3 linked regions of the Arabidopsis thaliana genome follow. The protein of the gene in region 3 binds, or shares a complex with, the protein of the main gene of each other region. Each region holds a gene or a part of one and is shown on either strand. Other genes may lie near its edges.

What was found.
Region 1: E2F1 (region 3) and MYB3R2 share a complex: the UniProt entries of both Arabidopsis thaliana proteins name them as parts of the DREAM-like complex.
Region 2: E2F1 (region 3) and MYB3R-5 share a complex: the UniProt entries of both Arabidopsis thaliana proteins name them as parts of the DREAM-like complex.

What each region holds. Positions count from the first base shown.
Region 1 is NC_003075.7:235,640-239,239, forward strand, and holds the start of MYB3R2 (myb domain protein 3r2), read right to left. Parts: upstream 1,944-3,600; 5' UTR 1,718-1,943; coding exon 1,620-1,717; intron 1,381-1,619; coding exon of another isoform or gene 1,375-1,380; coding exon 1,320-1,374; intron 1,245-1,319; coding exon 1,187-1,244; intron 1,097-1,186; coding exon 987-1,096; intron 901-986; coding exon 788-900; intron 686-787; coding exon 557-685; intron 488-556; coding exon 168-487; intron 93-167; coding exon of another isoform or gene 87-92; coding exon 1-86. Other genes in the region: DGD2 (digalactosyl diacylglycerol deficient 2), read right to left, coding at 2,515-3,031, 3,126-3,475. UniProt on the Arabidopsis thaliana protein: Transcription factor that binds 5'-AACGG-3' motifs in gene promoters. Required for proper circadian rhythm.
Region 2 is NC_003076.8:484,610-488,438, forward strand, and holds the start of MYB3R-5 (myb domain protein 3r-5), read right to left. Parts: upstream 1,865-3,829; 5' UTR 1,739-1,864; coding exon 1,697-1,738; intron 1,327-1,696; coding exon 1,175-1,326; intron 1,056-1,174; exon of another isoform or gene 1,044-1,055; coding exon of another isoform or gene 1,030-1,043; coding exon 978-1,029; intron 827-977; coding exon 769-826; intron 471-768; coding exon 376-470; intron 279-375; coding exon 175-278; intron 88-174; coding exon 1-87. Other genes in the region: AT5G02330 (Cysteine/Histidine-rich C1 domain family protein), read right to left, coding at 2,663-3,829. UniProt on the Arabidopsis thaliana protein: Transcription factor that binds 5'-AACGG-3' motifs in gene promoters. Transcription repressor that regulates organ growth.
Region 3 is NC_003076.8:7,358,365-7,362,193, reverse strand, and holds the start of E2F1 (E2F transcription factor 1), read right to left. Parts: upstream 1,660-3,829; 5' UTR 1,446-1,659; coding exon 1,263-1,445; intron 793-1,262; coding exon 630-792; intron 499-629; coding exon 442-498; intron 361-441; coding exon 275-360; intron 196-274; coding exon 107-195; intron 13-106; coding exon 1-12. Other genes in the region: AT5G22210 (aspartyl/glutamyl-tRNA (Asn/Gln) amidotransferase subunit B), read right to left, coding at 2,403-2,645. UniProt on the Arabidopsis thaliana protein: Transcription activator that binds DNA cooperatively with DP proteins through the E2 recognition site, 5'-TTTC[CG]CGC-3' found in the promoter region of a number of genes whose products are involved in cell cycle regulation or in DNA replication.

The sequences.
Region 1 (3,600 bases), on a different chromosome or scaffold from region 3:
AGCCATTCTAAGTCTCTCTTTCATCTCCCTCACTTCCTTTACGCACACAGTATCGTTGTTGCTGTTCTGTGGAGTTTCTAAACACGCTGAAACTTTTACATAAAGACTTGTTAACATGTGATGATCAATTGTAGAACGTATCCAATGAGATAATATTTCAGCCTTACCATTGAGTCTTGCACAAACTGAGTCTACTGATGATGAGACTGATTCTTCTCCTCTAAGAGAGCTTGTGGATGAAGAAATGCTCCTCCAATTCAGTCCTAAAGTTAAATCCAAGAAATCCCTTTGAGGACTCTTTGCAGCTTCCTTGATTTGTGATGTTATGCAACTCTCGACCATCGTGTTTCTTTGATTGAAAAAGTTGTATTCAAAACCAGAACTAGGTTTAGAACCATAGACCACACCAGAGAAGAGGTTACTAGGAAACTGCTCTAGCCTTTTCTTAACTGAACAATTCCAATGGTTCTTAATATTATTCTCCGTCCTGTTAGTTTTCACGAACAAGAAGGTTAGTTAAATCCACAACAATGTTTTCTTAGTTTTAAGGACAAACCTTCCAGGCAATAGCTTGGCAATCTCTGCCCATTTGTTGCCGTTTCCTCTTTGTGCTTGAACGAGAATTAATTCCTCTTCTCTAGTCCATGGAGATTTTATAATAGTCGGATTCAAATGATTATGCCACCTAAGACATAACAAAAAACCCATAATCAACATTATGGGGAAAATGTGGACTTGTCATCAAGTTCACAAACCAAATGTGAAAAGAAAGAAAAATGTAAGAAACCTTTCGCGGCATTGCTTGCCGATGCGACCAGGGAGTTCCTTTGAAATTTTTGACCATGGAGGCCTATCATTCTCCATATAATCTTTAACCAACTCACTTAAGAGTTCATCTTCCTGAATATCAAGAGACATATATGATCACTAGGTAATGAAACAACGTAACATAGCATATATTAAGAAAGGAATGCAAAAGTAGTTACCTCTTTTTTCCAAGCTCCTTTTTGGAGGCTTGGATCAAGAACCTTAAGCCAACGGTGCTGACATTGGACATCATTCCTCCTATTCTCTTCCGACCCAGGAAGGCATTCAGCTAAACCAAAGACAAGAGAAAAAAAACTCATATAGTGTATATTGGTTTTAGGGCAAATATTGATGGCTAACACATCAAAATATTATTTACCAATCCTTTTCCAGTTCCTCCCTTGGTACTTCTTCACAACATTCGTCAAAATTTGGTCCTGCATAAGATGGAAAAAAGGTTTCAGTGACACATTTATATAACTTGGACAAGACATAACAAGAGATATAAGTACCTCTTCGGCTGTCCATCCTCCTTTAGTTGATCTTCTAGTAGGACCACTCACTCTTCTGTATCTTTAACCACAAATCAAACATCACAAAGCAATCATAAGATCAAACCCTAATGACATATAAACATATATACTTAAAACTGATATTATAAATTTCCCACTAATCTTAATCATCACACATAAAAACCTTAATCACATATATATATAACACCCACCCCCAAATTCATCAAGTTGCAACAAATATAAACCAAACCACAAAATATAATTGAGGAACGAACAAGAGATGGACGAAGAGAAACATACCCTTTTGAAGAGTCATCAATTGCAAAAATAGGAGTAACGTCGTCGGTGTTGTTATCAGACTCGGACTCTGATCGATTTAAATCAATAGACTCTGTCATAAGTCTTTCAGAAATTGACAAAACCTAAAACCCTAAATAACAGCCTCAACTAACGAGAATATAGAAGAAAACAACGAGATCCTAAACTACATAACTATCTTAAACTATAAATTGAACGGACAAGAGTTTTTTCAATCGCAAAAAGTTCTAATCTATGAGAGAAAGACTTGAAATCGCTCTGTCGAGAGAAAGAGGAGAGACTGAAAAGGATTTGTCGTTCAGTAACGGCTATCCAAAAAATCTTTTTTTATGCATAAAGAGATTCTCTAGTCCATTTTTCTCTCTAAAATATTAATATTTAATTACTTTTTTTCTTGGTAAATGTTTTTTTTGTGGGATTAAGATTCTATATTATCTTTTTGATAATAAAAACAAAAATATTAGCAAAATAGAAAAGATTCACAAGATCTTTATTAGAAGAAAAGTGAATGGTATGCATAAATAAAATCCATGAAAAGTAAACCATTAATGCACAGGACACGAGTTACTCATAGTTCATATGTTAAATGGTTTTCTTATTAGCAATTAGATATGGCTCTAATATGAGCAATTGGCCACATAAGTGGACAAATGCGAATTCGAAATGATATGTACAGCTTCTGATTCTTTTAATGGAATCATATACTAAATTTTATAATTCAGACTCGTGTCATCATACATGTTCCACAAGATGAAAAATCTAACTTTCATCATCAATATTACACCAAAGCTGCTATAGAATGATTCAGATAGTATACATTGATTTATACACAAAAATATCCCAATGATATGCAGACAAAGATAAATTAAAAAACAGGTCAATCTTGCTTGCGAGTATTTGGGGAAGGAGTGTTGAGAGACAAACCAAGATCTCTACATAACTCTTCATCGGGCTGCAAGCTTCCAGGTATAGCACCAAAAGCTGTTCTGGAAGCTTCAAATCCAGACGCCAAGAAATGAATATACGCTGACATATCCTCCAAGTTTTTCCCCACACTAATCGAAGATGACGCAAACACACTTCTCTTTGACAAGTTCGAATCAGCTCTTGATAACCGGTTCAGATCAGAGACTTTTATAAACCGTTGTGTAGCAGCTTCCCATGATAGTTCATGCCTTTGTTGCTCTGTAAGTTGCGATGGTTGTTCCCCAAGAGCCTTGAGCGTGGCTCTTACAAAACCTTGTCCATCGTCATAGGTTCTGCAGTTGGGAAACTGTTTGAAGAACTTGTTCGATATGTGATTCGCGCATACTACTATTTTTCCCATCGCCAAGGCTTCTGCAGTTGTTGTACACACAACGTCTGTCGTGCTGGGGTTGAGAAACACTTTATAGCTGAAAATAGAAGATGGAAAAGTTTAAGGTATAGAATCCGATAGACTGCAAGGAAATCAATCAATCTTGAGGCTGTTAAGAACTAGAGACTTACTTGTGAAATAGCGAGTCAGCGTGATCACGTCCTGGGTAAACATTAACCGTCAAGTCGAGTTTTCGGGCTGCTTCTTTGATCTCTTCAGAGTCCTCTCCATCACCGTATAAATCAACCTCTAACTCGGCAAGTTCCTTTTGGTGTTTCTCAAGTAGTTTAAGAAGCTCCTTGTACCCTTTGCTCCAGACCATCTTACCAATGTAGTATGCGCCTTTAGTGAAGGGCTGCTCCTGGAGCTTCTGCTGTTCTAGTTTTCTCAACCCAATTTCGAGAAATTTAGGGTTGACGCCATGAACATTGCAGACTATAGATTTAGGGTATTCTTGAGTCGCAGCAGATAACCTGATTACCTGCAGGAGTAACATCATTGGTACAAGTCCTGATTCACATCAAAAGGACCGGCCATAATTGTGGTCACATTCCAACAAACTGTCTTGATTCTCAAATTAAACCCAGCCATTGGATATATTCACAT
Region 2 (3,829 bases), 6.9 Mb from region 3:
TACATTCGATGAGAATTCATGAGAGCTGATTCTTCTTCTACGGTCCAAGCATCCTTTCTAATACCAGGATTTAAATGGTTGTGCCACCTGTAATCGTAAACTCGTTGAGGCTTCCAAACTCAACGGAGGTACAGGCTCTATTCTTCAGATAGTCAATATTCTAATCTTTGTTACCTTTCTCGACATTGTTTCCCAATACGACCTGGTAAGGACTTGGCGATGACAGACCATTTGGCAGGTCCATATTTTTTTACAAGTTCAACGATTTTATCATCCTCCTACAATTCACGAAAGAAAGAGAATTTTAGAGCTACCAAATTTTTACGTAAAATGAAAACCAAAAAAAGTTTCAGAACATGAAAATGATAAGAGAACCTCTTGAGTCCAAGGTCCTTTAACAAGCTCTGGATTAAGAACTTTCTGCCACCTGTGCAAGCATTGGACTTCTGTTCTCTCTGGGAAAAATTCCGCTGTAAGATGAAATACAAAAAAATCAAACAAACAGAACATTGACCGAAACCAGCTACTTTAACATTTAAGAGACAAAAAAGAAATCATGGTTCTCTTGCAAAGTGCACAGCAGAGATCATGTTTACTGAATGAGAAAAATTCACAAAATTCTCAGCAGATTTAAGATACGAGTTCAGTTTTAAAAATGTATAAATTATACATTCAAGTATACATCAAGACAAGAGTGTGATTAGAAGACCTATAATCTCATTCTAATGTATTGCAATACTACTTTTACATTCAAGAAAAGAAATTTACCTATTTTCTTCCACCTCTTCCCCTTATACTTTTCAACTGCTCGTCTAAGTGTCTCATCCTGAATAGTGATAAAAACCAATTACAGACCACAATAAGGCTAGTCTCGTCTTTCATTCAAGTAAACACTAATCCTTATACATATAAGATACATAGTCGAATGAGGTTGCTCCACACACCAACAAAATTATGAAACAAAAGCAACCACTAACCTCCTCTGGAGTCCAACCACCTTTTGCTCGTCTCATAGGTCCACTAGTCCTCCTGCAGATCAACATTAAAACATTGCAGAAACCCAAAATGAGTTCGGTGTAAGTCATCAAAGCACAGTCTTTCCAATCAATCAATTTCATAATAAGTTGTATAAACACACAGATAGAAGATGAAATGTAAAAGATAGTAAAAGTACCGAGGAAATGAAGATACTGTGGCAGGAGTTGCGATTTCAGGTGACTTGAGGAAGAAACAGCCACTACCTTCGGATGCAGAAGAGCAAGAAGCAGCTAATGGTTGCTTATTCTCCATACATTGAATCTCAATTTTCATTTCACTTCTTTCCTCCTAAAAAACCCATATAAATCACCAAATCCAGAATTTTCGTTAAAAACATGGGATTGAGCACAAAATGAACAAGAACGTATCTTTATCAAACAAATAATCAAAAATCACAAAACCCTAAAAACTCAACGGCCGCAAAATAGAAGCCAGATCTCACAAAAAAACAAGTCGATTTCTTTCAAGCACAAGATGGATGTTTAGGGTTTATACAATTCTAATCATTAGAAACCAATTCAGACCCTTTTCCAAGACCTGTTAAAACGTGTTCCGATTCAGACCTAAAACCCCATGAACTCACACCAAAGTAGACGAAGATAACAATCTGATCACAAAAAATGAAAAGCCCTAATCAGATTTCAGGGAAAAATCTGACCTTTTCCGGTGAACAAACCGGTGGATTCGAACTTGAGCTCATCGTGATCGCCAGATAAGCGAATTCGCGAGGAAGAAGAAGAAGGGAACGTTAAAAAACAAACCAAAACTTATATTCGAAAAAAACTTTGCCCGTTGAACGAGAGAGAAGAGAGAAAGGAGAAGGAGACTAATTGGGATTAAAACAAATATTGTAACGAATACTTCTTCCGCCGACGTAACTGCTAACTGCCGTTAACCTGGAACCGGCCGGTTTATTCCAAACCGACTCAAAAGAATTGGAAGAAGCCGGTTAATTGAATTGAGAAAATGAATGTTTTTTTACGAAACTTATTAATGTGACTGGGCTAATTAATTAATTATAATATTCTTTCGGATAAAAACGAAAACAACGAGTTTAATTCGTGGTTGGATAAAACCGGTTATCTAAAATCAAACTATAACCGAAAATGGTGACAAGAAACCACAGGGGGACTTAACGGACGTTAAAAGTAGAAGAAAGGTTGACGTTGGAAATAAAAGTTTCAACCTCAAACGGCACTCTTTAGCTGATGCGTTGACCATTGTACACGTCGGCAAATCAGAGGTCCTCAATGATTATGGACCGTCGGATCATTAAGATAACTCATTCTGGTTTTTTTTTTTACTGTAGTTTCTTAAGCGAGAACAGTCCGAATTGGCCCATAATTTAAAGCCCAAAGGCCGAGATATAATTAATCAGTCGAGGTTTTTGGGTAAGAAGAAGATATAGAAAATTACAATTCGTTTTAGTAAAAGAAAAGATTACACAAAAACGTAAACAACCAGACAACAAGAAGATTGAGCAAATGGGGAACTAGAAGAAGTTAAGAATCCAAAAGTATTACAATACGTTTTAATAGAAGAAACATATTACAAAACGTAGACAAGCAAATGGGGAGTGAAATATAGCGAATAAGGGACGACGAAGCACCGGCGATGATGACATCTAATCCATCGAACAACTGTAAGAGCAAAATGTCATGTCATGCCAATTGAAAATTACTTTGTGTGGACAACGATCTTCTTTATGAAGTTGGCAGAATGGTCGAGTCATGGTATTGTTGGGAAGAATATAAATGTTTGACCTATAAGCCATTACAGTATGACCAGGATTCAACATATACATCTCTTTTCCAAGCAAACAATCAACATGGAGAGTGGTGCAGCAGTCATCACACGCATAGAACCCACCTTCTCTTGAGTATTCTAATTTCTTTTCGCATACCTCACACCAGTCTAACTGATCACTTCCCTCTTCCCCTTCCCGAAATGTGAGGAAATGTTTGTCAAGCTTATACTTTGCCTTGTATGGTAAAGTAGCACAACTGAAACATATAATATAATTGCATTCGATGCAATTTAGTTTTCGACCATACTTTTTTCGGCAAATTTGACAAATTGCCTCCCTTTCTTCTTTTCGGTCTAAAGCTTGGAATAAGGGATGCTCATGGCCTTGATAATCAAATGGTTCAGAAACAGAGGCACACCGTATGTCTATGCTGTATTGATCCTCCTCATAGATGAAGCCACAACTTTCACGATCACAAGCGGAACACCTGAAGTAACCTTTAAAGTATTCATTCTGTATATCAGAGACAACTTTTAGCGTAAGTGGGTGACTGTGTAAGGCATGATCTTTCTTGCGAGAAGCATTTGCACATGCTTCGTGGAGGATGAAGTTGCATTGATCCATACACGAGTAATAATTACCCTCATAGATTGGAAGGATGCACGCTTGACAAATAATGTTTTCGTTGTAAACTCCACTGGTCTTGAGTTTCAGATGATGGCCATGAGAAAAATGGAGTATTATTCCATCAGCTATCGTCTCAAATGGCTCGAGAATTATTTCAGGTTCTTCAGGTACTCCCTCGAGATCCTTTCCATCCCACAAGTCTTCCCGTAACGCACATCTTGTATGAACAAAATAGTGGCTACACTTGTTGCAAGTGTATGCACCACAATTGTTGTCAACCTTTTTACGACATACTCCACAAGACCATTTTCCAGATGGAAGAGAAGAGGTAAAAGAGATACGGTGTTGGTGACGACATATTTTAATGACATACGGGAAATAGATACAATCTCGATGGGCTACAAAGATACATCGAAG
Region 3 (3,829 bases):
ACATCGAGACCCCTAAGACAGACAAGAAAATTCAGAGTACTGTCGCTCACACATGAGTCATCAAATGGAAGGAATCCAAGATTTGACAGTTCTAAGACATGCTTACTTCCACTGAATCCTGTTCTTAAGCGTCTTCTCTATCAAACCTATTCCTTCTAACACATTGGTTATATCATATATCCTTCTCTTTTGTACCTGCATCAACAGGAACATACAGCTAAGTTTGACAGAAAGTAATACATCAATATGGGAGTCTAGAGTTCAAATATGTCACCTCTAAAGTATCAGCTGCTTTGTTTAGATCAAGAATACCATCCTCTGCTTGTTTTATCAAATTGATAAATTTCTTTGTCAAAAGACCTGAAGCAGATTAAATCATTAAAAAAACTTATTATCCAAAAGTACATTTTTTAAACATTAGTTAATGAAATAAGTTATTACCTAACGAACTATCATATCGACAAGTACCGGCCTGTGCAAAGTTATTTCCAGGAGAACCTGCCAACACAAAAGATCCTTCTCACTACATTGCAATATCTCCACTCTTTAAAGAAGATTTAGCTCAGATGAGCACATAAGAAATATTTCTCATTGGCATACTAACACAGAGCATTTAGAACCAAACTCACCTGCATTAGAGCCAGAAGCTAGCGTTCCAGACTTATTAGACTTCGCAGACCTAGAAGTTTTCTTGGCTTTCCCCCCTTTCCCTGATACAGGTGTTTGAAGAACACCGGTATTCAATTCATTGACCTCAACTATTTGGTTTACCAAATCTGTCTTACGCTTCAGCTGCCAATAAAGTCACCAAAATTGAACAGTTAAATACATCAACGAATTGAACAGAATCAAATCCTATCAGCATCATACTGTCACTATGCTGAAATCTAAAAGCATAGACACAACTTTTACCAATTCCAACATAGCAAAATTCAGAAACTAATTTAACTAAACATAAACACAAAAGTGCATGAATCTGCTCTAAATAGCAATAACAGTAACACCACAAACCCTAAGTCCAGCAACTAAACTACTCAATAAGTACTTGCAATGCTAATTCCAATACTACAAACAAGGTTAATCAAAAGAGACCAAACGCAATTAACACCAACAGAAGCAGATCCCGACACAATTCTCATCAAAATCTAAAGCAACGACATCATCAAAATCATAATCAATAAAACCAAACCTCACACACAATCGAAAACACGAGAATTATAAAGCAAAATTCACAAGCAAAATTGAGAAGAAAAAAGACTTACAGTAGATTTGATCACAATCGCGTCAGAGACAACCTGATCAGCAACAGCTCCACCACCGCGAGTCTCCGCCGCATCAAACCGGTGATACTCACCAGGAGCAACTAGAGGAGGCTTCATAGAAGAAAGAGAAGGATGAAGCTGCCGCTTAGAAGATGGGAATTGTTGAGGTACTTCTTCAGACATAAGAACGAATCTCGATAAAAAATCCCCCAAAAAAAAAAAGAAACGGCGAAAATTGTCACGGAAACTCGGATCTCCGGTAAGCAGAGATCCCAATAACGATTAAGAAGCAGATCTACGGCGGGAATTACGGAGATTCCGGGAAGAGAATGTGAAGAGATCGGCGAATCGAAAAAAAGCGGGAGAGGAGAAGAAGATGAAGAAGAGGAAGGATTATAAAAAAAAAAAAAAAAAGAGACGGTGGAAGAGGAAGAGAGAAAACGAGGGAATGAGTTGCGTTTGGTTCTGAATACTGATGTGGAGGGAATTAGCGCTCTTTATCTCTCTCTTTGTACACAAATCTTTTTACCAATATCTCTCTACTAAATAATAATAATCCTATTTTTATATATAATACAAAATTATAAAATTTTAAGTAAGTTTTTTTTTTTTTAAAGTCAACGAAGTTAATAAAGCTATGTAACTAATTTGGATACAGTTTTATTTCCTTGAGATTGAGGGGAAAAAAATGAATTTTGGATTTATTCATGTTAAGAAGTGGAGCATAATAATTTCATCAAACTGTTGCAGCATCCGTTACACGCGTTAAGTGTGAGCAATTATCGTCAAAATCTGTCGAACTTATACGTTTTTTTGTTTTTAATTCATAGGTGAGGCAAAACTATATTGATGAAAATTATGCTCATGAGTGTCTCATCATTTAACAACTTTTTTAAATGGAACCTCGAAACATAGGGATTCCAAATCATAGCACCAAGACAATAGAAACATGTGTCGTCTGAATGCAGACACTTGGATCTCTTATGAATGCTATACTGTTTAGAGAAGATAATATATATTTATAGACTGAGCTTCCAAAACACAAGCTTTAAGTATGACTGTATGAGTAATCAAAAAAGATACTAAGACTTTGAAAGCTTCATACATAACAAACAGAGACAACAATAGAAGAACCCCTTTTTACTTGAACAAATGGGCAAGATCAGGGTCATCTAAATCTACATCAAGCGATCCATTTAACCGCATAAACTCGATGTAGCTATCTGGAGGAGTGATCGCACGAGTGTTGTTCTTCGGTTTGAATCCATGAACTCTCTGGAGATCTCTTGCGAGCCAACGCAGAAAAACTTTGTCCAATGGAGGTACAATCTTCAAATGGATCTCTTCGCGTTCTTCTTTCACCGTTGTAGCTTTGTTTCCCATCTTGCAAAACCCGATCTTTACATACATCATATATAGTATCGTCACATTGTCCAAACCACAAAAACAAGTTATCTAGTCAACAAGATGATTATGCAACACTTTTAGCAGATGCATTTTGGGATTAACACTTAACACAATCTATAATTTCTCCATGCACACCAATATTGCAAGTGTGTAACATTTACATGTTCGGATGCAAATTATCTCGTGAATAACACAATCGTCAATTCGTCATAACCATCTAAAAGGAGAGACTAAAAAGTTCTATAGAAGCTATACACTAACCTTAAGGACCATCAAAACCTTAATTAAGAGACCAAACTATTATACATCAACCAAGTAATCATCTCAGCGTCCATTTTTAAAGCTATCTTTGTTCCACTATGTCCAAGAATCATAAGATCCTCGAGCAAATAAATTGTACAAGATGAGACATCTATGAACCACCAATTCAAGGTCAATTCTTCAAGATGATTAACATGATAATATCAATTAGAAATCAACTCATTCATGAATACTAAGTCTACATTTAAAACCCCTAAATCAATGAGAAAACTGGAGAAATTACTTCAAATTTCTATCATCACTATATACCCAAAAAATCAGGTAAAATCCTAGCCAGCAAATTAAGCTTAGCGATATGATATAGATTCAAGAGATTTTACCTTTTTCAATCAGAGAGACAAAACATCAGAAACCGAAAGTGAGTCGAAGAATTTCTGACCAGACAGACACTATAGAGCGTTTTGCAGAGCTAAACCAATGTCGTATCGCTAGCTGTATGTCATTTTCTGGGTTAAGCCTAGTAACATAAAAAGCCCATTAGCTTTCACTTTTTCTTTGGGCCAACTGTTATGGTTTAAATGTGGAAACATAGCGACGAATGCTCAAAAAGGTGAACTACACTCTACAGAGACTACAAGTGTGGGTTTAGTTGCAAAGTGACTAAGTTTGTTGACGAATATTCGCTATAGTAATCATCTTTTTTTCCTTTTTTTGCTTTATGAATTTGTAAAACCAAAATTTTATGAAATCACAAAAGTTCTAAAGTTAGGAAAAGAAAAAAAAAAGTGTTGTTTTTGTTTGTTTTCATCTCTCACGTTATCAAGTTGATCAGTTAATTTTGTATTTATGAAAAGAAATTGATAACATTTTCTATGGAAAAGAAAAAGGATAATTGTGCT